Linked DNA regions of Caenorhabditis elegans. The protein of the gene in region 4 interacts with the protein of the main gene of each other region in a pairwise test. Each region holds a gene or a part of one and is shown on either strand. Other genes may lie near its edges.

Region 1 (5,326 bases), on a different chromosome or scaffold from region 4:
ATTGCCGGTTTTGCCGATTTGCCGGAATTTTTCGTTTTCGGGAAATTGCCGGTTTGCCGGAATTTTTCGTTTTCGGGAAATTGCCGGTTTGCCGGAATTTTTCGTTTTCGGCAAATTGCCGGTGTTCCGATTTGCCGGAAATTTTCAATTCCGGCAATTTCGCCGATTTGCCAGAAAATGTCATTTTCGACAAATTGTCAGTTTGCCGATTTGCCGGAAAAATCGTTTGCCCCCGACCCCTGCTTTGAATTATGAACAAAAACCTTCAATCAACTTTAAAATAGCAATGCAACATTTTGAAATTAAAATTTGCAATCAATTTTTTTTGTCAAAAAATGTTCTAAAAATTGAACTAATTTTGCCAAAAATTTACCCCAAAAATCCCGTAATTTCAGATGACGACTGCATTATCACAGGACGAATTTACGGGATTTCAAAATTCGGAAATACAGAAAGAAGAAGACGATGACGACGATGAGTGGGGAGATTTTGGAGAAGCCGTTGTTGCTGCTGCACCAATTCAGGCGGTAAGAAAAAAAAGTTAAAACTTTATTGCAAAAAAAATACCAAAAAAAAAAAATAATAATAAACGTATATAAATAGGATTAGCATTGAGATTTTTTTTCAAGCGTGTAAATATTTCTGGAAATTAATTTATTAAATTTAAATTTATTCACTTCACAATTTGTGAGCAACAACGCTCGTCGTATCACCGAAAAACAGTTGCCGGGCAAACGCCGAGAAGCCGATATTCTCGAAAAAGTCTGCAATCCACACGGCCTCTTTCGATTCGCACGCCATTTTTGACATGGACGTTCCCATCAGAACCAATCGTGCGAATCTGCAACACGGGGATGAAATTGTGATCTATCAGTGCCGGGGGCTAAAAATTTTGGTAAATTGCCGAACTTTTGGTACATTCTCAAAATTTTAATAAATTGCCAATTTTTTGATAAATTGCCTAAATTTTGGGAAATGTTCAAAATTTTGGTAAATTCTTAAAATTTTGGTAAATTGCCAATTTTTTAATAAATTGCCAAAACTTTTGGAGGCACCACCGAAAGGAGAACATGTGAAAAAGGAGAATTACGAAAAGGAGAACACAAAACCACGCCCATTTTTCCATGCCGCGCGCAAGTTTTTGCAGAAACTTGTGCAAATTTTTATTTTCAAACGAGATAACGCGAAGCTCCGAAAGAACGTATCGCGTGTTGTTTATCACACGAATTCGTTAGTTCGGATCTTCGTTGTCTCGTTTGAAAATAAAAATTTGCACAAGTTTATGCAAAAACTTGCGCTCGGCACGGATAAATAGGCGTGGTTTTGTGTTCTCCTTTTCGTAATTCTCCTTTTTCACATGTTCTCGTTTCCGTGGTGCCTCCCAAAATTGTGAGAATTTTTCCAAAATTTTAGCATTTTACCAAAATGTTGAGAATTTACCAAAATTTTAGCATTTTACCAAAAATTTGAAAATTTAGCAAAATTTAGAGAATTTACCGAAATTTTGGTCAAAGTGTTCCAACTTAGCTTACTTAGCTAGTCCGCAACAAGACACATCAAATTGTGATCTATCAATGTTTGATTTGATCGACAAGCGAGTAATAGATGAATGCATCAAAGGAAGGAAAAACGTGATTTCACCAACCTTTCGATTGCCGTGTCCACGTCGTCTTTCATGGCCATGTAGCCGTATAACTGCTTGGTGATGCGGACTCGTTCGTTGTTCACAAGCTTGCGAGCCGGTAGAGAGATGTCAGCGTCTGGAATCGCATCAAAGTGAAAGTTTGGCTCTTATTGAGATTCCGCCCGGACCTGGATTCAGAAACGTTACCGCTTTGAACGCTGCAAATTCGGTTGCGTCGAGCTGTAGATCACGGAACGGCTTGAGCACGAGATCCAACATTTGATACTTTTTCCTGTTGAGTCCGGCTGGCCTATAACGATTGAACACAACGCGGAACGAGACGGGAATTGGGGCTCGGTTTGGAGTATATGTGACCGACAACTTACCGGGTTGGCTCTGGAGTACGATCGAAGTAGGCACCATCTGGGAATACAATTGTGTCTGGTCCGTAGTCCGGGGAGTTCCAGACTTGAACCAGGACTGGGACTGTTATTGCGGCATGGCGAACAAGTTCGGCCTGGAAAGGATTGAAATAATTAAATCGTTATACATGTTTCTGGTTTTCTTCCAACCTTATCTTGATAATCGAGCGCCTCAAAAACATCGAATGTTTTGGCATACTCTGTCAACAAGAACCAGTCTCTCTCGTGCCAATAGTGGTAGTCGTCGTGATTGACGAATCGTAGATCGAAGATCTGATGTCTCTCACTCGGCTGTCCCCACTTTTCCAAAAAAGCCGTGTCGTTCAGCAGAGCCTTTGAGCATAGAGCCTCGTGGAGAGATCGGATTGGAAGATATTCGGAGAGTCGGAGATCATTTGCACACTTTTCGCGTTCGGCAAGAGTTTGTAGGATGCAGCGACGAGGTTTCAGTGGTGCAGCTTGGAAAAGGAGTGGCGAGATTGGTGGAGGCTGTAATTTGGGATCACGTGGTGTCAGAGTTTCTCATTTCGGCTTGATCTACGTAGATCTATAGAAAATGCGGGAAAAGAGACGCAGAGTTCTCAACTGATTTTGCATGGTTGAGAACGTGCTGACGTCACACATTTTTTGGGCAAAAAAATTCTCGCATTTTTTGTAGATCAAACCGTAATTGGACTAATTAATTACCGATAGCTGTAATGGAGACACTGATGGTGGGGTGCTTGCTCCTTCGTCACTTGAACAGTCCGAGGTAGTCTTCAGCTCTTTTTTTGGACGCCTGGTACGTTTTGTGTATCCGATAGGGTCACGGTTTTGTTGGAGGGCGTTTCGGTCCATTCCCACGCTCAAACATTTCTCGAATCGGCAGTATCGGCAGGCACAGCGGATAGCTGAACTTTTGAAATATTTTTTATAAGTTCCTTGTTACTGCTAACAAGTGGTGTCAGAGTGTCCCATTTCGTTTTGATCTACGAGAATTGCGGAACTGATTCCGCATGGTTAAGAACGTGCTGACGTCACATTTTTTGGGCGAAAAATCCCCGCATTTCTTGTAGATCAAACCGAAATGGGACAGCCTGACACCAAGTGTGCTAAATAACTCACTTTTATCAACTGGACAATTGCCCTCGAATTGGCAAATGTACTTTTGTTTCTTCATAATTGTTCGCCGGAAAAATGTCTTGCATCCGACACATGACGGGACACCATAATGGTAGCCAGAAGCGAAATCTTGACAAACGAGACAAACGTGATCACGAGACGAGCTCGGAGACGATTGAGGTGTCATTTTGACCTGAAATACGCCTTGTTTGTATTGGTTTTTTTTGTGACAACGAGAATAATGCCAAGAGACACTAGACACGATAACAAATGCAAAGTGCCCCCGAATCGATGCGTTTTAGAGATAAAATGAAGGAGAAGAGGAGAGGTAAACTACAACAATTGAACTGTGATGTGAGACAGGCTAGGGACAGCTGTTGCAAAAAAACATTTGAACTTTTGATTTCTAATCATTTGAGCAAACTTTTTTTGAAACAATGATTTGCTGGGTGGTTTTGGAAGTTTTTTTGGAAAGAAATCAAGTCCTTGATGAAGTGACTCGGAAAAACGGGCGGTCAAATGATTGTTCATTATCAACATATTAACAGGCTGCCTAAGAAATGAGAATAGAAGACCTTGAGATGTATATTCTATATATGTCTGATATCAACGTGAAGATCGAACTGTCTTGCAATAAAACACAGTGGCTTGGGGCCTGCTGCTGACCAGCAGCTTCATCGCGTCCTCATGTATTTTTCACACTACCCCCTCCTCCTCTCAATTTCCGATCGTCCCCGTCGTCATACGACAAAGATTTGGGACGTTATCGCTGCCCGTTATATACGATTCTTCTTGACCAATGAACAAAGTACATGCGATGGGGGGGGGGGGGGGGGTGGAGCCTCTCTTGGAAAATGCCACGAGAAAACCACGCCATGTAATGTTGAAGAAGGGAAGATTTGATAAAGAAAGAAGTCTGCACCTACCTACTATGTGAGAAGACTTTTGTACACACAGACTGTAGCAGCAGCAGCAGAAGAAGAAGCTACACGTGGTGGCAGAGTGTCTCATTTTGGATTGATCTACGTTGATCTACAAAAAATGCGGGTGAGAAGAAACGCAGAGTTCTCAACTGTTTTCGGATGGTTAAAAACGTACTGACGTCACACATTTTTTTGGGCGAAAATTTCCGCATTTTTTGTAGATCAAACCGTAATGGGACCGTCTGGCACTACGTGAGCTAATCAATTTGTCTATGATACAGGAGACATGAAGAATGAGAAAGTTGCATTGTTAGTTGCTGAGAAATAGGCGAAAATTCGTCCTATTAGATGTTTTGGTCATTTGATTGCTGATAAGACACTGATAAGTGCTAATCAATTTAAGAATTAGTTGTTGGTAAATTTAACCATCTTATGATTAAAATAAAAACATCAATATTTGTACAAAAAATTCTGAGAATGCGTATTGCATAACATATTTGACGCGCAAAACATCTCGTAGCGAAAAAGAAGACTACAGTAATCGTTTAAATGACTTCTGTAGTGCTTCTGTGTCGATTTACGAGCTCGATTTTTGAAATGAATTCTTCTTTTCGAATATTGCCGGTCCAGAGAATGAGGAAAGTTGAATGGACACAGATATTCCGGAACCCAAGGTTGCGGGAAGAGCCGATTTGTATGGATTTACGGAGAGTTTGTGAATAAAAACACTCCGTAAATCGACAAAAATCGTCTCTTCCCGCGCCCCGCCCCTTGGGTTCCGGAATGTCTGTGTCCATTCAACTATCTACACTCTCTGTACCGGTAATATTTGAAAAGAAGAATTTAATTAAAGAATCGATCTCCCGTAAATCGACACAAAAGCACTACAGTAGCCATTTAAACGATTACTGTAGTTTTCTTTTTCGCTGCGAGATATTTTGCGCGGCAAATGTGTTGCACAATACGCAGCATTCTCAGAATTTTTTTTTTCGATGTCAGCGTGGCGAGACCCATGCGCGCAGGATACGCCGAAAATGCTTTTATTCAGACTTCAAAGCGACTTTTTGCAAAAATCCAAAATTGTCCTAAATTTCTTTAAAAAATCACAAACAAAATGAAAAAAAAATCGCGGAAGATTGCAAAAATCCAACTTCACGTAGTGTCAGAAAGTCTCATTGCGGTTTGATCTACAAAAAATGCGCGATTTTTTTCCCAGAAAAATTGTGACGTCAGCACACTCTTAACCATGCGAAATC
Region 2 (5,129 bases), on a different chromosome or scaffold from region 4:
GGAAGAAGAAGCCAGGTTTTGTAGGCAGACGCTCGGCAAAAACAGGAGGTGCTAATTCATTCACGTCTCCATTTTTTTTCGAAAGTTCTCATATTTTGGAGTGTGATTTTTTGAGAATTTATCATAAATCAAAAGGATAATGGCTGTTCATAGCATCTAGCCTGATTCAAAAATTTCGAAATAAATTTTTTAATCATTTGCGAAAAAAACATTTTTCCGACATTAAACATTTAGTTTAAAATTTCAAATTCACATTTAATGATTTACAAATTTCCAAGAAAACAATTCCCGTGAAAATGAACATTTTTGCGCGCGTTCTCACACGTATTAAGTGTCTAATGGTTAGTAATGACTGGCAAAATTGGGATAGAAATTCACGTCATTATTTATGCGATTTGAGCTGGAAGAAAACAATTTTTCTTTGTAGATTTTGAAATTTTTTGAATTTGTGATATTATTTTTTTTTCTTGTAATTTTCTCCCATTTGGTTTGACTTGCAAATATGTAAATTTGGAAAATGCCCTCATTAAAATTTTTTTCTTAAATTCTTAGATTTTCTTTGAGCTCAAGGATAGTATCTTTTAGTTTAAAATGTTCGCTCTGGTACTCTGAATTTTCCAAAAATGCGAACGTGTCTGAGTCCAACAACTCCCAGGTTTCGCGTTGCTCTCAACATCGCCGCGCGGAACACGGTAGTTGTCGGACCGTGTTGCATCATTACTTAGAAATTTTCTGAGCAATTGACTCCGAAAATGGATGTGTTCAAATTTGTGAAAATTGAGCATTCAACACTTTTGTTGGGTTGAGTTTGAAAATTTGAACTTGAACAGACAATTCCCTGTGATCCTTTGTAGCTAAATCTATGTTCTCAGATAACCAACAGTTGGGGGGTAAACCTGCGTGGGTGTGGTTTTATGCTAAATGCGCAGCCGACACCGATGGAAGTCCGCGATTTACAACTTGAGTACCTGTTATATTCGAAAAATAACTTTTCGATGAAGTGTGAAAGTTACTATTAATTTTACGGTGACTAACCTTTTCAAAATCCCGCTGGCATTCAACTTCAAGTTTTATCTTTAAAGCTTATTCACTTTTGACTTTTTGTACACTTCCGATCTTTGAGTTCCACCTTTCGACATCCGCCTACTTTATGTGCATATCGTCAACTCTGAACGACATCGTAACTTCTTCCTCCTATTCCCTGAAACATTTCCACCTGCTCTTCTATTCATAGAATGATGTGGTGGGTGTCAACCTAGGATACTTTGAGCTTTTTTAAAAATTCACTTGATCTATGTGTCTTCCCGACTTCCTTTTCTCTCCGAATTCTTTTCCGAATTCCCCCGAATTTCTTTACTTGGAAAGTAAAAGAGGAAATTAGACGGCAAAAAGAAGATGTGTTTCGTGAACTTTTCACAACACTTCAAGCGTTCTTCTTTGAACTGCCCGTCTCGTCTTGCAACTTTTTTCATTTCATTCTCGTTTTTTTCATCTCATTCACATCTTTAATCATTCATTGAAATCTTAGGGCCGAAAATCCAGTATCGTTTTCATTCTTCTTTTTCGTTGCTCTAGCTCCTCCCCTGCGTCACAACATTTTTCAATTATTCTCAAAGTGTTATTTCTGTTTGTGTGGTTGGAATTCGAACTTTACACTTAAAACTTTTCACCTGCTCTACGTTTTTAGAAACTGTTACAATGTTTTTTCACCAGAATATTTTCAGAACGAATGGAAAGCGACTCCCCACTTAATCATCCTGTGGTACACTTTTTGCTCTGTGTATCCTACCTTTTTGTCTTTCTGGCCACTATAATCGGTATGCCAAGGATCTTTGTTCATATTTTTAATATCTGAAAATATTTTGCAATGATTATATTAAATATTGCAGATATTAATGGTTTTTTTTCGAAGTTTTTCGATGTTCACTTTCAAAATTCATTCTAAACCTAAAGCATGCTCCGGCATACCCAGAGATCATTTTCTGCTTCACACCTTTTCTTCACAATCGAATTGTTTTTTTTTCTAATTTCTTCTAACTCAGACTCGTGAATGCGACAAAATTTCATTTGATTTTCTCATTAGGACGGTTTTCGTAGCTAGGCAAACACACAACCAAGCAAACAATGACATTCATTTTTGATTTGTTATCCAATATCAGATGACAATATATCAGAAGACAGAATCAACAGTAGGCTATAATTAGATTACATTGAAGTGAGCAATAATTGGTGAAACTAAACTGATAATCGACATTTAGGTTCAAATTATATGGTAGAAGTACGTAGTTAATAGTAAGTGGTAGAGGACAAACTATTAGAACTTGAACAATTTATTTTAAAAAAGGAAATTAAGCTATGGGCAAATTTGAACAAAATTACCATCAAGCTATAACATAAATTCTTTCAGGAAATCTTATCATTCTGCTGGTCTTCTTCTCGCAGAAACGAGTCCGAAGTGTGCCCAACTTCTTTCTGGCAAATCTGACGGTAACTCTCCTCCAAAACTCACCTCCTATTCTGAAAATAATCTATTTCTAGGTTGCCGACCTTTTTGTCGGAATCTTCTGCGTTCTCCAGAACGCTGTGAATTTTGTATTCCAAGGACATGGACGGTGGCCGTTTGGCAAAGTGTTATGTTATTCATACATCTACGTACTACACTTCATACCAAATGTGTCGGCTGGAATTCTGGTAGGCAATCATGACGTAGGGAATCTTTGAAAAGCAACATTTTGATATTCAGGTGCTGGTCTCGGTTGAAAGATTGATTGCGGTGCTCCGTCCATTGCGGGTGCGAAGAGCATTTTCACAAAAAGTGCTCATCACATCGTCAGCTGTTGTTTGGCTAAGTAAGCTGACTTAAAAAGAAATGTGGAAATGAAATGTTTTCTTAAATTTCAGCTAGCGCAGTTATGAACACCCCATATGTAGTGGCTAGCCAGTTTTTAGAGATATCAGACGGGAATGAGACATACACAGTAAGTAACTTCACCTACCTGCCTGCATACAGGTTAACCACAGCCGAGTATGAAAAAATTCAGGCTAAAAACTATTATTTAAAAAAAATTCTAAAACCGCTTGGATACAATATGGCTAAATATGCAAACTTTGCCATTGTTTTTTTTCTAAAAGAATTTTCTAAAGATCTTTTGTTAGTTGAAGTATTACCAAATTAGTTCAAGAAGTTCCTTTTCTCGAAATAAAGATTTTTCCAGATCTGCACTAGACGTCATGTGGAAATTTATGGATTCAACCTCCTGAAGCTAGTCGCCACTATCAACTTCATCGTCTGGTGCGTTCGTCAACTCTATATATATTTTGTTTTGACTTTTAAAATTTTTCAGGTACGCCGTCCCTCTAGTAATCCTTCTTTGCATCTACGCTACCATCGGCCTCGTGGTGAGCAAGGCCGCAACAATCACGAAACACTCCGCCAACAAGCTTTTGCCAAGATCAAGCTGGCGATCCGAAGCCTCAACCGGCGGTGTGTCAGTGGAGAAGAGGAGAAAGGTTTGTTTAAAGATTCAGAACATGTGTTCACAGTTTGTTTGTGCCAAGTCGAACCACTTTTTCTCAAACGTTTAGTTCTGAGAGATGACACTTAGCCATATGGTAAAACCAAAAGTTATTGAAATTTGTTGAATTATTCAAAAGTTTGGTATAGGGCAGCATTTGATATTTAGCTTGAAACTTGCTTTTTAAAAAAGTACATGTATAAATCAAAAGACTAGGCACATGTGTTTAAAACCAGTTCAAAAATTGGAACATTTATTAACGGGACAGAAAAAAAAAGGGTCATTCACTGTGAGGAAAGCCTCCAGATTTTCAGAAGTAATATCAAACTACAAACTACAAAATCGACAAAATTTATAAACATACATTTTTCAACAAAAAAGTATTTTGTTGATATATTTCTGACATTCAATTTCACTTCAGGTTGGTCGTTTGGCAGTCGGAATCGTCGTGGCATTCGCGTTCTTCTCACTCCCGAGATATGTATATTTTATGTGGACCGTCTGGCGAGATCCGATGGGTAAGCACGTCGTCCACCTGAACCTCCAAGTTCCAAGATCATAAACATCAAACTTTTCAGCGCCAAGATGTTTGAACTGCCTTCAAAGTGTACTCCAACCCATCAGTTTCCTGCTTCTGTTCTTTAATGCCGCCGTCGACCCATTCCTCTACGCATTCCTTTCAACAAGATTTCGTCAAAGCATCAAAGAAACATTTCATCTTGGAAAGGTAAAGAATGTTCTCCAGCCAAGACATTTTCATTCTATTCGATTCAGCTTTCAGGTGCGTGAAAGCAACATCGAGCAGTCATCACGAGTGCGGCGTAAGGTGTTAAACTCGGAGTTGGAGACGGGTTACGAATATCATAATCACTCATAACAAATGTACATACATGCTTTAAAATTCTAATCCCACTTATTCACACATTCTCACACATATTGCGTTCTGTTTTTGTGATCTCACCCATGATTTTCAAAACTTTATAATGCTATCACCGTTTCTTTCCACAACAGTCTCCTGTCAAATTTGTAACATATACGTAATTATGGATATAGTTTCTGTCAATAATGAATTTGTCAAAAAATCAATTTTTTGGGTTTTCATGCTTAAACAGAGTTTGTAAATTATATTAATCCCAAATTACAAAATTATGCAATCGGATTTCTCAAAAATGTTTTAAAACTTTTTAAGAAAGGTCAAAATTTCAATGATCATTAAATGAACATTGATTTCCGGCCATGTGCCACATACAAACATAAATATTGAAGATTTTAGCTGAATTGAACAGTTTTTTTTTGAAATTTTGAACTGCAATGTAAAATATTTTAAAAACTTTGAAAAGTCTCATTATGAAATTTAGTTGTTTGGGTAAACTTTCGAGGTCTTTGGGCAACTAGAGCTACTTTTATATATTTTCAGCAAGCTTACAATTGACATAATTAAAGAAAATATTGCCCAGTTTGACTATTAAAGATATTTTTGACCCTAAGTAATCAACTTTCAGTATTCATGCAAAAAACCTCTAATCATTTTTTTCTGCTTTTCAGCTCTTTGAAAAATTCAGATGGCAAATTTTAAATAATACAAATGCATATAAAACTTAATTTCAAACATTC
Region 3 (7,621 bases), on a different chromosome or scaffold from region 4:
AAATTGTGATTTTAGTTTAAAAAAATGCACTAACTTGTATTTTCTAGTATTTTCTAGAACGATTAACTAAATATTTTAAACAGGTTCCACTTTCAAAAAGTTCAATCTAAACAAAGAAAACCCTTACATCCAGACTCCTCGTCGGCCAAACTCTTGAAATCCAACAAGTAACTTCTCTGATCCACTTGGTACAACTGCAACGACATCTTTGGCGGGTCGGCAGCGGGTGCATCAGGCTTGCGACGAACAATCACATGATATGGGTTGAGCACCTTCCACTCCATGTCCAGCTGCTTCATCGCACGGAACACCTCGAACATGATGTCTTCCGGACGACTTTGGGATCGGATACCCAGATGCCACTTGGCACGTTTGTTGCGGTTCGCGCCACTGGCTTCCGTGTTGTCGAGAGTTGGTGTGATCTTGCTGCTGACTGACGCTGAAATTGAAGATTTAGATATTGTTTTACGAATTTCATGTTCGATGCAAAAGTTTTATTATTCTTTGCCACCAAGAGTTTTTCTATGCACCCTCTCCTACCTGCAATGCGCTCTGGATGGCGATGAACTGGTCCAGGTCCCTTATTCGGCGTCACTTGATAAAACTCCTCAATTGACAACTTGGCAGTCTCATCGGCAATTCTCTTGTTATCAACAATCAAGTTATATGCAATCGACAAATGGTGATGTGGATCATCTCCCAGCAATGCTGAGGTGACTTCCTCTTCGGCGACATGATAGCGCTGAAACTTTTCATTGTGATTAGAAACTTCTGCTCCTATCGAACACGATTAATACCTCAGTGACCTCTCGGACAGCCTCAATATCAACAATGGAAGCCTCACTCTCGTTGATTGGTGGGAACAAGTAGTTCGGCAAATCCTTCTGGAACCACTCGTGAGCACTGAAAATATAAAGCAGTTATTGTCTTGTTTCCTTGGCGTCTCATAGCAACGATGTTTGTTTTTTTTTTCTTTTTAGAAGACCACTTACATGACGTCCTTGATGGTGGCCCTCTTCATCGGGTCTACGCAGAGCATATGGTGAAGCAGATTTACAATTGGGCGCTCCAGAAAGTCTGGAGTTGGGAATACGCCAGCTAAAAAACATATTTCGTGAACGTTATAATTTTTAATGATTCCAATTTAAATTTCAAACATTTATCACCCGGGCAGTGCGCCAAAACATAGTAATAGTGCCTTTTGTAATAGGGATATTTCAATTTTCAAATCCCATTTCGCTTTCATATGTCTAAATGAAATTGGTATGTTGTCGTAATCCTTTGCCATTTTTGTGTTTTGATTCTCATGTCACACTAACGTACATTTAATTTTTCTGAAAAGACTTGGCACGTGCTCATCATCAAATGGCAGGGTTCCACAAAGAAGTGCATACAAAATGACTCCACACGACCATACATCAACTTCGGGACCTGCGTACAACCTGCAAAACAAAGTTGTTGTGTCTAATCTTGTTCAATTACTTTAATTGGATTTCTACTAGTGCAAAATGTCGTCTTGGTGTTTGCGAACACATGTTTCATGTTTTGTTATTCAGTTCTAATTTGGTTTTTATTTTACATTGAACCATGATCAGGAGACCACCATAATCACTCACTTTCCGCTAATAACCTCAGGGGCAGCATAATTTGGCGATCCGCAGCTGGTGCGTAAGAAGTCACCATCCGTCATAATATTTGAAAGTCCAAAGTCCGCAATCTTCACATTGTTCTGCTCATCGAGCAACAAATTCTCTGGCTTCAAATCTCTATGGACAACCATATGACGATGACAGTAGTCAACGCCGGAAATGATTTGTTGAAAGAAGCGACGAGCTTCTGCGGTCTTCAGCCGTCCGTGCTTAACAATGTAGTCAAAGAGCTCCCCGCCGGAAACGTGCTCCATAATCATGAAAATGTCAGAAGGTGTACTGATGACTTGGTAGAGGCGGATGATATGCGGATGGCGGAAGAGCGAGAGGTTTTGGATTTCGCGGCGAATCTTTCCAACGACATCCAGTGACTTGATCTTCTGACGGTTCAGAATCTTGACAGCCACTTTGTATTGAGTTGTCTCATGGATTCCAACTGAAAATGTGAAAACTAGATGAACAGAAAAGAAAGATAAATATGTCAGTATTTGGCAGATTGGGACAAAATTTTTGCAACAATTTGGCAGCTTATGGTGTTGCCAGGAAGTTGCAGCAAATGAAAAAGTTTCTAACTTTCCGGTTTGGTTGAATTTTAAGGTGTTGTAGCTTACCTTTTACTTTACCAAAAGTACCAACTCCGAGTGTCTCCTTGAGAATGTAATGTCCGATTTTGATTTGAGCTTTGAGCTCTTGTTGCTGCTTCGTCGACGTTTCTCCTCCTGGAGACGACATTTTCGAACTGTTGTCTGTGCTATCGCGGTCCTTGCGTTCCTTTCTGAAAACGTACGTTGTTGGTAGGTAAATGATCGTAAGTAAAATCTCGAATTCACAAGTTCCTCAGAATAATTGTTCAGTTAAAAAATCAATAAATACAGTCACGAGGAACCTCCTGCAAATAGCAAAACAACGAGAAAAACAAGTGTATAAAGAGCATGTATTTTTCAAAGATCAGAAATCTAAGAACAAGTTTTGGTGTTTTGAGAACATAGCAGAAACAAAAAATGTCTAGAACTACAACCAACAAAGATCGATGCCTTTTTTCCTTTGGCCGAAAATGTGGTAAAAGGTCCGCCAACCTCCCGCACACTCTCGCGACCCCTACACCTCTCACACGCACACTCTTCTCTCTCGATCTTCCTCGCTCACTCTTTCTCACAATTTTCCTCGTTTTCTAACAACAGACAAACACACACGCACAGCGAAGACAACGAGAGTTGACCATACAGCACAAAGCAATGGCGAGAGATAGAGAAAAAGAGGAGAAAAATAGAAGGGAAAGGCATCCCGTGTGTTCGTTTCCTTATGTCTATCGTCCTCCGGCGCAAACAGCGTTGGTAGGTAGGAACAAAAAAATAGAAAGAAGAAATTGAACTTTCATTTAAATTTTTAAAAAATCTTTAATATTTATTTAGACCTAACCTAAAAAATTGACAACAAGTAGTCAAATGGGAACGAAAACCAGAAATGAGATAAGATTGAAAACCGAAAATCGCGTTTTTCTACAGGCAAAAGTGCAATGTGGACATGATTGATTGATTTTACGGGTCTCAAAGACTTAAAAATTGATAACTGGTGTGGTTTTTGGATGGTAATTTTGAATGGATAAACAAAAAAGCAACTTCTTATCACAGAATGACCATTGCAGTAGGAGTCTCTAGGAAAACCGTATGCCCATCAGGTCTTATGACTGCCGCCCAGACACCAGACACTAAATTTCAAAAACAGCAGGTGCAGTCAGTGTTTTGACATAAATGTGCCGGATATGAATGGTAGAAGAGACAATAGGAAAGGTTCCAAAATCAACACCAATTACAGATTTTCAAAAGGTTGGAGGAACTGAAACATCTATTTTGAGAGAACAAAAAAACATGTAGAAAAACATCATCGAAGGTCAGACAGTGGAGACGATAGAGAAAACACAAGCGCTCAATGAATAATAGCCGTATTGTGTCATCGAAATTTGATACACTCGTAATATAAGTGGTGAAGATAACAACAATAATCACAATTTGATACGACTAGCATCAAAAAGTTATGCATTAAAACTGTGATTTTACTAATTGAAATTGTCAAGTTGGTAGAAAATTAATTACAGACGATTTATGGCATTTGAAAAAGTATTAAAAGAACTGTTACACCGCAATTTTTGAATTTTTTAAATGACTTCTACTAAAACGAGTTAAACTTTAAAATTAGTGAGACTACCAAAAACGTTTCCACTGATAAAAAATTGAGACAATTTTTCTAACTGCACTTTGAAAAAGTAAACTCGGCTGACATCGTAGGGTTTCATTTTGGCCACAAAATTTTGAAATCAATTTTAAGTTGGAACATGTGGTTTTTTTGTTAGATTTATGTGATTAACAGCTGCTCATATTCTCCTAACTCAGCTGAAAGTTTGCCCTTTATATTGGAAATTTAACGTATGTCCATGTTCAAAAAGTGCACGTTTGAAATATTTTTATATTTGTACTAATAGAAGTTGCACAAAAATTTGAGATTTTTGAAAAATATCCACCCTACTGGAGCTAGAACAAAACAACAGAAAAATAATAAAATCCAACTGATCAATATTTTTATAAATTTTGTCAAACTGTAATGTTCAATTATCAAGATGTAGTCTATTTCAAAAACTCAGGAAAAATTTAGCTCATAAGATGTCAGTCGCTTCAACTTTTCTACAGCGGATTTGAGACAATCCAGGGTTTAGAAAAACTATTTAGAAAAATGAGCTTAACTTCTATTTGAGAAAAAAACTTTTTCACAAATCATGAGAAAATGTCGAAAACAGTTTTTTAAAAATAATTTTTGCATTGCATAAAAGAATGACAAAATCGAATCTGGGAGCTTTCAAATTTCACAAGTTCCCACTAAATTTTCCTGTAGTTTCAGCAAGAATATATTATATTATACGGTGAAGCCTCTTGAACTGAATTTCTATGAAACTAAGCATCTCAGATATTTATGCTTTTGTATATAAATTGCCACAAAAAATTGTCGGCTGCAATAAAAAATAATAACCTATATTAAAAGTTTGAGGCTCAAATATTAGACAACAAAATCTAGAAGCTCAATAAAAATTTTCCAACTAACATTTATTCAATTGCCTTCTCGTGATCATTGAAAATATATTCAGTTACTTCACGGAAAACTTCCGAACCTATCAGAATTTTCCTAATTTATGGGAAACTCTTTTTTTTGTTGGAAATTTTGACAGGTCTCCTTGCAGAACGATGAAGAGATGTTAAAAATGAACACTGGCGGAAGAACTCAAGGTTCAAGATTCGTTGGTGTGGTATCTGTTTGTGTTTTTCATGATATACATGTGACTCCATCAAGCTTTGGCGTGTCCACACACACACACACACACACTCACACTCTCTCATACACACAAATACGCAAACGAGATCACTCAATTTACCATGATTTTCAACGGAGGACAAAAAGAAGAAAAGCCTTTTGGTCGCCTCACGCGGGGCGCCAGCCGTCTGCGTCTCACACTATTTTCGGATACGTTGCGGCACGTGTTTTTCCAATGCTAAATGCACGGAAATTGGGTTTGAAAGCGGAATGAATGAGGAGAATCCGTGAGAATACGAAGAAAATGTTGCCAACTAGGTAAAGAGGGGGGAAGTTGGTCCGATGAACGGAGTATCGTACCGCGCGTTGTTTAGTGGAGGGCGGCAGCGTTCCGCGCGGCTCACTTATTCGGGAAGGGCCCCCACATTGTTCGTTTTGCATTAAGGCTCCAGTCTCTTTTCTTTTGTTTTTGCATTGAACATTTTTGCTGTTATCTTTTTCTGTTTTGCTAATCGTAATGGGCGTTTACAAAAAGTTGCTGAAAATTAATATTTAGTCTTTCAAAAACTAGTGATCTAGAAAGTTTTCAAAAAAAAACCTTGGTACGTTATTTTAAATGTGAACAATCTTTAATTCACACAGACAAAACACGGAATTCAGGGAAAATTCAGTATTTTCCCGAATTGGAATCTAATTTGCTGAGGGCCGATGAATTTTTCAATATTTCGTAATACTAAAGTAATTTGTACGGAAAATCTGAGTTGATTAGCTGAGGCGCTAGAAGCATGTTTAATTTTTTCACTAAACTCATCAGTGTGGTTTTAAAAAAAATTAATCTTTTTCACATTTTCAAATGAAAAGAACATCCCTTCTGTGGCTACCCATCGCAAAATTTTAGAATTGCGGTTTTTGACTTCCCTTGACCCCCCGAAAACCCCTCAAAAACTAACCTTGACTTTGCCGATAGCTTTCTTGAAAGATTTTTCACGCGATTAAGTCCACTTGGCTGACTCCGACTCTTGGATTTCATCTCAGTACCGTCTCCACCACCGTCCTCCTTCCTATCGCGGTCTCGATCTTGATGAGAAAACATTTCTGAAAATAGTCGGTTATTTTGAAATGTAACCTAAAAAACGGGCATTAGAACGGCAATGTTAGACCTTGAAATCCAAAAAAAGAGAGAAAAGCCACTTTGTCATGCGCAGAAATCGGCGGCGATGGTGATGACGGAAAATGTGAATAAGCATATTTTGGTGGCGTTTTTTGGTTTTTCTAACAGCTCGGCTGCTAAAAAGGTTTGCTGTGTAAATAGAACAAGTACTCACCGAACACTTTTTTCATTGTTTTTCACGTCGAGAAGCAGCGAATTTTCTTTTTTTGAAGGGATAGCTTTTTGAATTTTTTTTTAGCTATTCAATGCAACATAAAGCAATAGAAAAAATGAAGGAGAACAATTGAAGCTAGCTCTCGAAGAATGTTTGATGAAAGCGAAAACTTCACTTCGAAATTTCAATATCTAGTGGAAAAGGTTTTCTAAAACTAACAGGGCGAATATAGCCATCTTTTTCCAAAATGCCATAAAAGTGGAAATGTAAATGAGGGTATGAACATTAACAATTTTTTTGACACGTTCATGTGAACAAAAAATTCCACCCGCATAGTTCCATATTTTTAGAAATAACAAAAATTGCCTAATATCACTTAATGCTCTAGCTCTAATCCAGTTACTAATCCTTATTTCAAAACGATTTTTAAGCACTTTTCAGTGCTTTTTCCTTCCTCTCGCCAAACAAAAAGCAAATATGTTCAGATGCTCGAGTGCAACGCACTGAAGCTATATTTGGCAGAATACCAAAAAATCGATTCAAAACGCAATGTAACAGCGCGTGGAAAGTTGAAACAATGTGATGATACCAGAAACATTCATAATAAATTCTGGTAAAGTGAGCCCTCCTCACTTGACGCTACTGTTTGTGAGTATCAGACTCGGCGACTTTTGTCAAAGTAATCGGATCAGAACGGGGCAGTGTATTGGTATACCTCCTGCCACAAGGCACGTGCCAGACAATATGAAACAGTATATGCGTTTTATTCAGTCTCTATTTTTTTCGCAATTCCCGCAGGGAAAGTCACCTGCCAAGCTTACAGCTTCTAGGAAAACATTATACTTTAACAACTATAGATAAATTTTGAAACTTAAAAGTTACTTGTCAACGAGAGCTCATGATACGAGAGCCAACGAGAGCGCGGGAAAAAAAATGAGAGGGAATAATAACTTTGAACGATGGGACGAGTTGAAAAGTGTCATATTTCGGAGCACAATGGTTTTGAGCACACTCGGCGTCCAAGTGATGAGAAAAGTTTACTTCTTCGTTAGACACTTGTTGACTTGCTTTCTTTGTTTTTGAAATTTTTGTTCAATTTCCATTTTTCTAACAACTATCATTATGTTTGTTTTTGTTGCCTCTTAATTGTTAGTTTTGTGAAAAATCCATGTCCATGTTCATCTTTATTGATTTTAAAAATTTTCAAATTAACTTCAAAATCATTAAAGGCCACCCATTAAAGTCGGTGACTAAAATAATAAATCAGAATGTGCTGAAAAAATTTTTAGTTGTCGTAAATTTTACAAAACTTTGTTGAGAACTTCGCCACGTAGAATTGAGGCTTTA
Region 4 (5,195 bases):
AAGCTTTTGCCATTTCAGTTTATCGACGTCGGTTCCTGTGATGTAAACTGATTTTCCACCCTTATCGCCTATGAAGTTAATCGAATTTTCAGTCAATGTAAGCGTTCCGCATGTTAAATGGCCTATATCCTCCACGTAAACTCCCTTGAATTTGAGCTCAGTCATTCTGAAACTTGTCAGTCAATAACGCGTGTAAAGAAAAGAAGCGAAAAACGTCCGCGAACAAGAAAAGTCCGGAAAAGAATGAAAAAAATGAATTCTCGAAAAATGCACTCTAATTTTTTCGCGCGTCGAACCGAAAACAAAGAACTACGGTAGTCGATCATACGTGAACACCGAAGTATACTGTATACGCAAGCACCGCATCTGACGACCGTTTCTATTAATTTTATTATTTTTTTAATAATTGACTAATTTTGACAAATAAATTGACAAATTACTATTACGACAAATTACGACAAATAACGGTAAAAGTTGTGGCACGTCAAATTTTTTCCTGCATACAAAATAGTTAAATTATCAAATAATATTTATTTCATCTTTTCAACAACCAAGAAGCAGTACCAAATATATTAAGTTTTTAACAAACTTCAAATAATATAATTTTTGGTACTGTAACAGCCTAACAAACAACATCAATTGGAAATTCAAAAAGAAACAGTATATAGCCCGAACGAGAGAGTGAGATAGAGAATTAAATTCACACCTGGAGGAAGAGATCAGTAAGAAATGATCAGACTTTGAGAACATGAATAGAAAATGATAGTAACGGGGGAAGGGGACTTTAAACAAGTATTTTGAATCTATATTGATTCATAAGACAGGAATAAAGTTTTGTGAGAATTCAGAACCGGTTGGAAGCGTGTCCAGACACCGAATCGGTTCTGAATTTATCAGAAGTAATATATTTGTTATTGATTGAGATACGGTCCCAATCTCATGAGCAATCGATCGCAGAGTCCTATCTCTTGTAGATGTGTTTGAGACAGTTGATGGCGTAATCCTTGACAATAACTCGTAAAAATCTGAAAAAGGTTAACTTTCTTGGCGCAATATTTACTTTCTTGAGTGTTATGGTAGGGATTAATTGTGTCATTTGGGAATATTCCGACAATTTTGGCATTATGCCAAACAATTACTTACCTCAGCGACACCTCCATTGACTATTTGAAGTATATGAATTCCAGAGAGAAGTGCAACTTCACAATCATTGAATACTGTATTACGAATGCCGCCACGAAGCAAATTTACTGGATTCTCACAGGAATAGAAAGTGATTGGATCAAATGTGAAAGCCGCACGAATAGCCAAGATACCACTCATCACTTTTTGAATACTCATTTCAAGTGCTTTTTCATCTTTTGGCAAAAGTGAGCTCAAAGCTGGAACTGATTCAATAAATTTCTTAATTGCTCCAATAGCATGAGTTCCCGATGTTAAGTGAGTAGAGCATGGCATGTTTGCAACAAAGGCGGCCGTAAGCTCTTTCACTTGTGATGTCATCTCAAAATTGGGCGAAGCCACTGATGGTTTAACATCTTTATCAGTTTCTTTGTTCACTCGAACGTTGTCACGATTCATTCCAACTGCGAGGCATTTGGCAAATCGACAAGCTTGACAACGAGTACGTACTCCACGATTTGCCGCACAATTTTCATATGAGAACTGAAAAATATAATAGCATATTTTTGAAATGCTTGTCTAATTAAACTCACTGTGCAATTTTCTCCTTTGGTACAAACATATGCGATATTCTTGTGAACACTTCTTCTGAAAAATCCCTTGCATCCTTCACAACTCTGTACTCCATAATGATATCCAGTAGAGTTATCACCACAAACCATACATCTATCCTTTTTAAAGAACTCACTCCAAGCATTCATTGTGAGATTATAGTTTGAAAAGTCTGGAGCAAACTGTGGCATTTGTGGAACTACTGTCATTGGTGTGTTAGTACGGTCATATGGAGTACCACGTGGCTTTTTTGTTGAAGCAGATGACGCTGGGAATGTGTTACGACGAACAGAACTGTTCTCTTTATCATCGGCTTCATTTCCGTTGTCTGGAGAACTTTGAGTCGAAGAAAGAATATTATTAATTGCATATGGTGAGATTTCTTCTTTTTCTGGTTTTGCTTGTTGAAGTGGAGTCAATTGCATTTGTGGCTGATTATGGTAGTTTGGAGTGGTTGCGCTGAAAAATTGAATTTAACGTTTTTACTATAGAAAGGATAAAGTAATCTTCCAGTCATCGTTGCCTTATTTATTAATTTAGTAACTCGCTGAAACGTAGAATTCCCTCGGCATACTGTACAACCGTGTTCTCAAATTCCGCTAAATCTGACTCTATTGTTCTCACCTAATCTCTTTGTACAACATCTTAAAATATTTTTTGTTGCATCTAACCGCTCTTTGTTCTAATTAGGTGTGAATTGGTAAAAATTACATCAACTTGAAATCACTAACTGAATTTTCAAATCCCACTTCCAACCTTGCCAGTTGAAAGAGATTCCCGTTTAGATGTCTTGAATCCTGCCAATAGGATTCAATATGATTCATCATTAGGAGGTAACATCTGCCACGTCATCAATACAGTCCCCCATCTGCCCCCTCTTCTGACCTGTCACTCTCTTACCCAGTTGCCACGTCACAAGGTGACCTGTTTCTACGTATTGCGTGAAACAAATTGGACCATAAAGTAGAGACCGCCCAAACACTCAAACATTGCGCAACTCTTCTTTTTACCGCGCAGAAGAAATACATACCTGTTCTGTGAAGTGAGTGGTGGAGAGATTGTGTCATTTCCCGAATCTCTGTCCGAAATCTGGCTCAGCGGTGATGTGGCATTTGGAGTGACTGTATTTTTAGATTGTGGTGGCATGTAGGTTGAGTTTGTTGCTGTTCCTGGAACCATTTGCTGCATTTGCATTTGCATACACAGAAGCATTTCTGGGGTCCATCTGAAAGTGAGAATTGGTGTTTTGTAATAATTCGAATGCACGAAAAGTTATGACTGGATACAGAAATATAAAAACTTACTGTGCCGGATTCTGTAAATATGACTGTTGATATGCATTTATCATTGGATAGCCTGGCATCATATGTGGTTGATTTGGATAATGCATCAATTCTGGATTCATTGGAACCATCTGAAAACTAGAAAAGAAATAGAGATAGAAAAATAATAAGAGTTAATAAATTGAAAAAAAGAGTATACTATGAAATAGTGTACAATTCAACAGACTGACAGAACGCGCGAAAATGTTGGTCAACGAACGCTCGAATTGGTTGCATAATGACCATCTGACCTTGCACACACTGTTCTCGCGCACTCTTGCTCGTTCTGCCTGCAACGACGGTGTGCTGCTCCGCCCCTGGTGGTCTATGGGAATAAGAAGGTGACAGTGAAGAGATGGAAAGTGGGTGTGATGACATCTCTTCCAAATATTCGCAGTGTGGTGTTGTAATATATTTGTGCGTTCGGATAAAACTAACAGATATTGTTGAGAAATTGGGTATGGTTCTCAGTTGGCATATGAGTTGCAGAATAAGAGTCTATCAAGTTTCAGTGAGAAAAAGTGTCGAAGAAATAGTAGAGCTCTTGAACATTAATTTTCAGGAAATTTCCCTCTCTCGAAGCCAAACAACTACGGACCCAGCGGTAACACAAGTAGCCTATAATGTTCTCATACGCTGTAAAATAATATTTAAATTCAGCTACAGCACTGTAGCTACAGTACACCTACAGTCCCTAATCCAAAAACATTTCGTCATTGTAGCTGGAATATATCGACCAAAAAGTATTGCTGTAAGTGAAAATAGTTGTACATCTCTTCCGGAAAGTGAAATTTAAAGGTTTTCTGAAAGACACACACAGTCAGAATAGAAATTTGATAGATTATATCTAGATTATGTTTGTGATTAAATCAGTACATGGCTGAAATCTAAGCAATAGTGTGACGTCATAATTTTTCAAAACATTAATTAGCCGCCAAGTTTGGTTCTTTGTAGGTCAATTCTTTTGCTGGAACTCTATGCTCATAACCCTCTTTTGGGGTAACATTTCATTTCTGTAACCCCTATCTATAGAGAGGCTATGTGTCAGAGAATACTATAATAGTACAGTAATATAGAGGTTAATGAAGGATCTTTAATCCATCCCCAATTTAGCACAGATGGTCGAATACATTCTGACAGAAGGGAAAGGTCAAACTATAAATATCGATTTATTCTGAAAATAGACAACGATTGGGGTTATCTAATCTTGATTCTTTTCAGAAGGGATCATCAACGGCCGAGCTGTCAATTTTAATTTAGCTAATGAGAAAACATTTAGTGACGAGAATCATTGCTGGAAATATTCTAGAATTCAGTATTCAAAACCGTTTCTAAACTTAAGTAAGTAATTCGAAAATTTCGCAAAATATATGTATTGTTTGATATTTTTTTGAAATTTTAAGACTTTTCAACAAAAAAAAACATTTAAATTTGTTAACAACAATTTTTCCAACTAAGAATTGGAAATAGTGTATGAAAATTTCAAAAATAAATTGAAAATACCAAACAATTCCGAATTTTCCGAACCATGTAGTTTTCCAAGAAACCCATTTGGAGGTAATTTTTGGTTTTATAAGATTTTAGATAGACAGTGAAGAATACTGCGATATTTCAAAACTGCGTAATCTACTCCAGTTATCTCGAGAGCCCATTTGTTTTCCTCCAATAAACTATCATTCTGTGTTACGTCAGTCGGCAACATTGTGTGTGTGCAGGCAGATTGACCTGATTATGTAACGTTTGTGCAACAGAATATTTGGTCATAAACTGTCACAGATTGGGCCTCCGTTTAGGTGAATTAGAATCTGCTCAATTGGATCGAGTGGAATGCACATTGTGTTGAACGGCGGTTCTGGACAAAGACCTTGTATTTTGGGAATCCATCAATAAGAGTGTGCCAGAAACTGTCTGAGGTCCTATTGTTTGTCAGGTGAAAGTGGCAGTATAGTCTTCTACAAAAAAAAGAATGTTAAAATTCATCAATGCAATAATTAAAATTAATCGAATCTACACAGTAAACGCATTTAGACCCTATCATATTGGCTATGAAACAAAAAGTGACATAGAAGAAAAAAAGCTGAGAAAATTGAGAAAAGAAGAATATTAGACATTGTTCAAAGTCTACTTGTATTCGGCAAG

What was found.
Region 1: the proteins of nhr-2 (region 4) and nhr-114 interact in a two-hybrid assay, tested with the Caenorhabditis elegans proteins (one large-scale study listed by BioGRID).
Region 2: the proteins of nhr-2 (region 4) and npr-21 interact in a two-hybrid assay, tested with the Caenorhabditis elegans proteins (one large-scale study listed by BioGRID).
Region 3: the proteins of nhr-2 (region 4) and aak-2 interact in a two-hybrid assay, tested with the Caenorhabditis elegans proteins (one large-scale study listed by BioGRID).

Annotation. Positions count from the first base shown.
Region 1 is NC_003283.11:4,185,217-4,190,542, reverse strand, and holds nhr-114 (Nuclear hormone receptor 114), read right to left. Parts: upstream 3,341-5,326; 5' UTR 3,335-3,340; coding exon 3,151-3,334; intron 2,937-3,150; coding exon 2,734-2,936; intron 2,536-2,733; coding exon 2,197-2,535; intron 2,142-2,196; coding exon 2,011-2,141; intron 1,935-2,010; coding exon 1,813-1,934; intron 1,761-1,812; coding exon 1,646-1,760; exon of another isoform or gene 1,533-1,645; intron 842-1,532; coding exon 679-841; 3' UTR 539-678; downstream 1-538. Other genes in the region: Y45G5AM.9 (Aftiphilin clathrin-binding box domain-containing protein), read left to right, coding at 396-527. UniProt on the Caenorhabditis elegans protein: Probable transcription factor which may have a role in detoxifying dietary metabolites arising from bacterial tryptophan metabolism.
Region 2 is NC_003284.9:17,154,558-17,159,686, reverse strand, and holds npr-21 (G-protein coupled receptors family 1 profile domain-containing protein), read left to right. Parts: upstream 1-1,718; 5' UTR 1,719-1,729; coding exon 1,730-1,817; intron 1,818-2,407; coding exon 2,408-2,487; intron 2,488-2,538; coding exon 2,539-2,691; intron 2,692-2,743; coding exon 2,744-2,849; intron 2,850-2,901; coding exon 2,902-2,978; intron 2,979-3,215; coding exon 3,216-3,292; intron 3,293-3,344; coding exon 3,345-3,510; intron 3,511-3,936; coding exon 3,937-4,033; intron 4,034-4,047; exon of another isoform or gene 4,048-4,093; coding exon 4,094-4,242; intron 4,243-4,296; coding exon 4,297-4,392; 3' UTR 4,393-4,599; downstream 4,600-5,129.
Region 3 is NC_003284.9:16,794,510-16,802,130, reverse strand, and holds the start of aak-2 (5'-AMP-activated protein kinase catalytic subunit alpha-2), read right to left. Parts: upstream 6,043-7,621; coding exon 5,900-6,042; intron 5,017-5,899; exon of another isoform or gene 4,957-5,016; intron 2,425-4,956; coding exon 2,261-2,424; intron 2,086-2,260; coding exon 1,617-2,085; intron 1,443-1,616; coding exon 1,324-1,442; intron 1,099-1,323; coding exon 993-1,098; intron 904-992; coding exon 798-903; intron 749-797; coding exon 541-748; intron 440-540; coding exon 128-439; intron 1-127. UniProt on the Caenorhabditis elegans protein: Acts as a sensor that couples lifespan to information about energy levels and insulin-like signals. Role in motility and response to oxidative stress. Involved in the establishment of germline stem cell (GSC) quiescence during dauer development.
Region 4 is NC_003279.8:5,817,961-5,823,155, forward strand, and holds nhr-2 (Nuclear hormone receptor family member nhr-2), read right to left. Parts: upstream 3,175-5,195; 5' UTR 3,149-3,174; coding exon 3,039-3,148; intron 2,960-3,038; coding exon 2,765-2,959; intron 2,194-2,764; coding exon 1,716-2,193; intron 1,666-1,715; coding exon 1,144-1,665; intron 1,026-1,143; coding exon 912-1,025; 3' UTR 514-911; downstream 1-513. Other genes in the region: hmg-3 (FACT complex subunit ssrp1-B), read right to left, coding at 1-165; C32F10.8 (alanine transaminase), read right to left, coding at 5,178-5,195. UniProt on the Caenorhabditis elegans protein: Orphan nuclear receptor.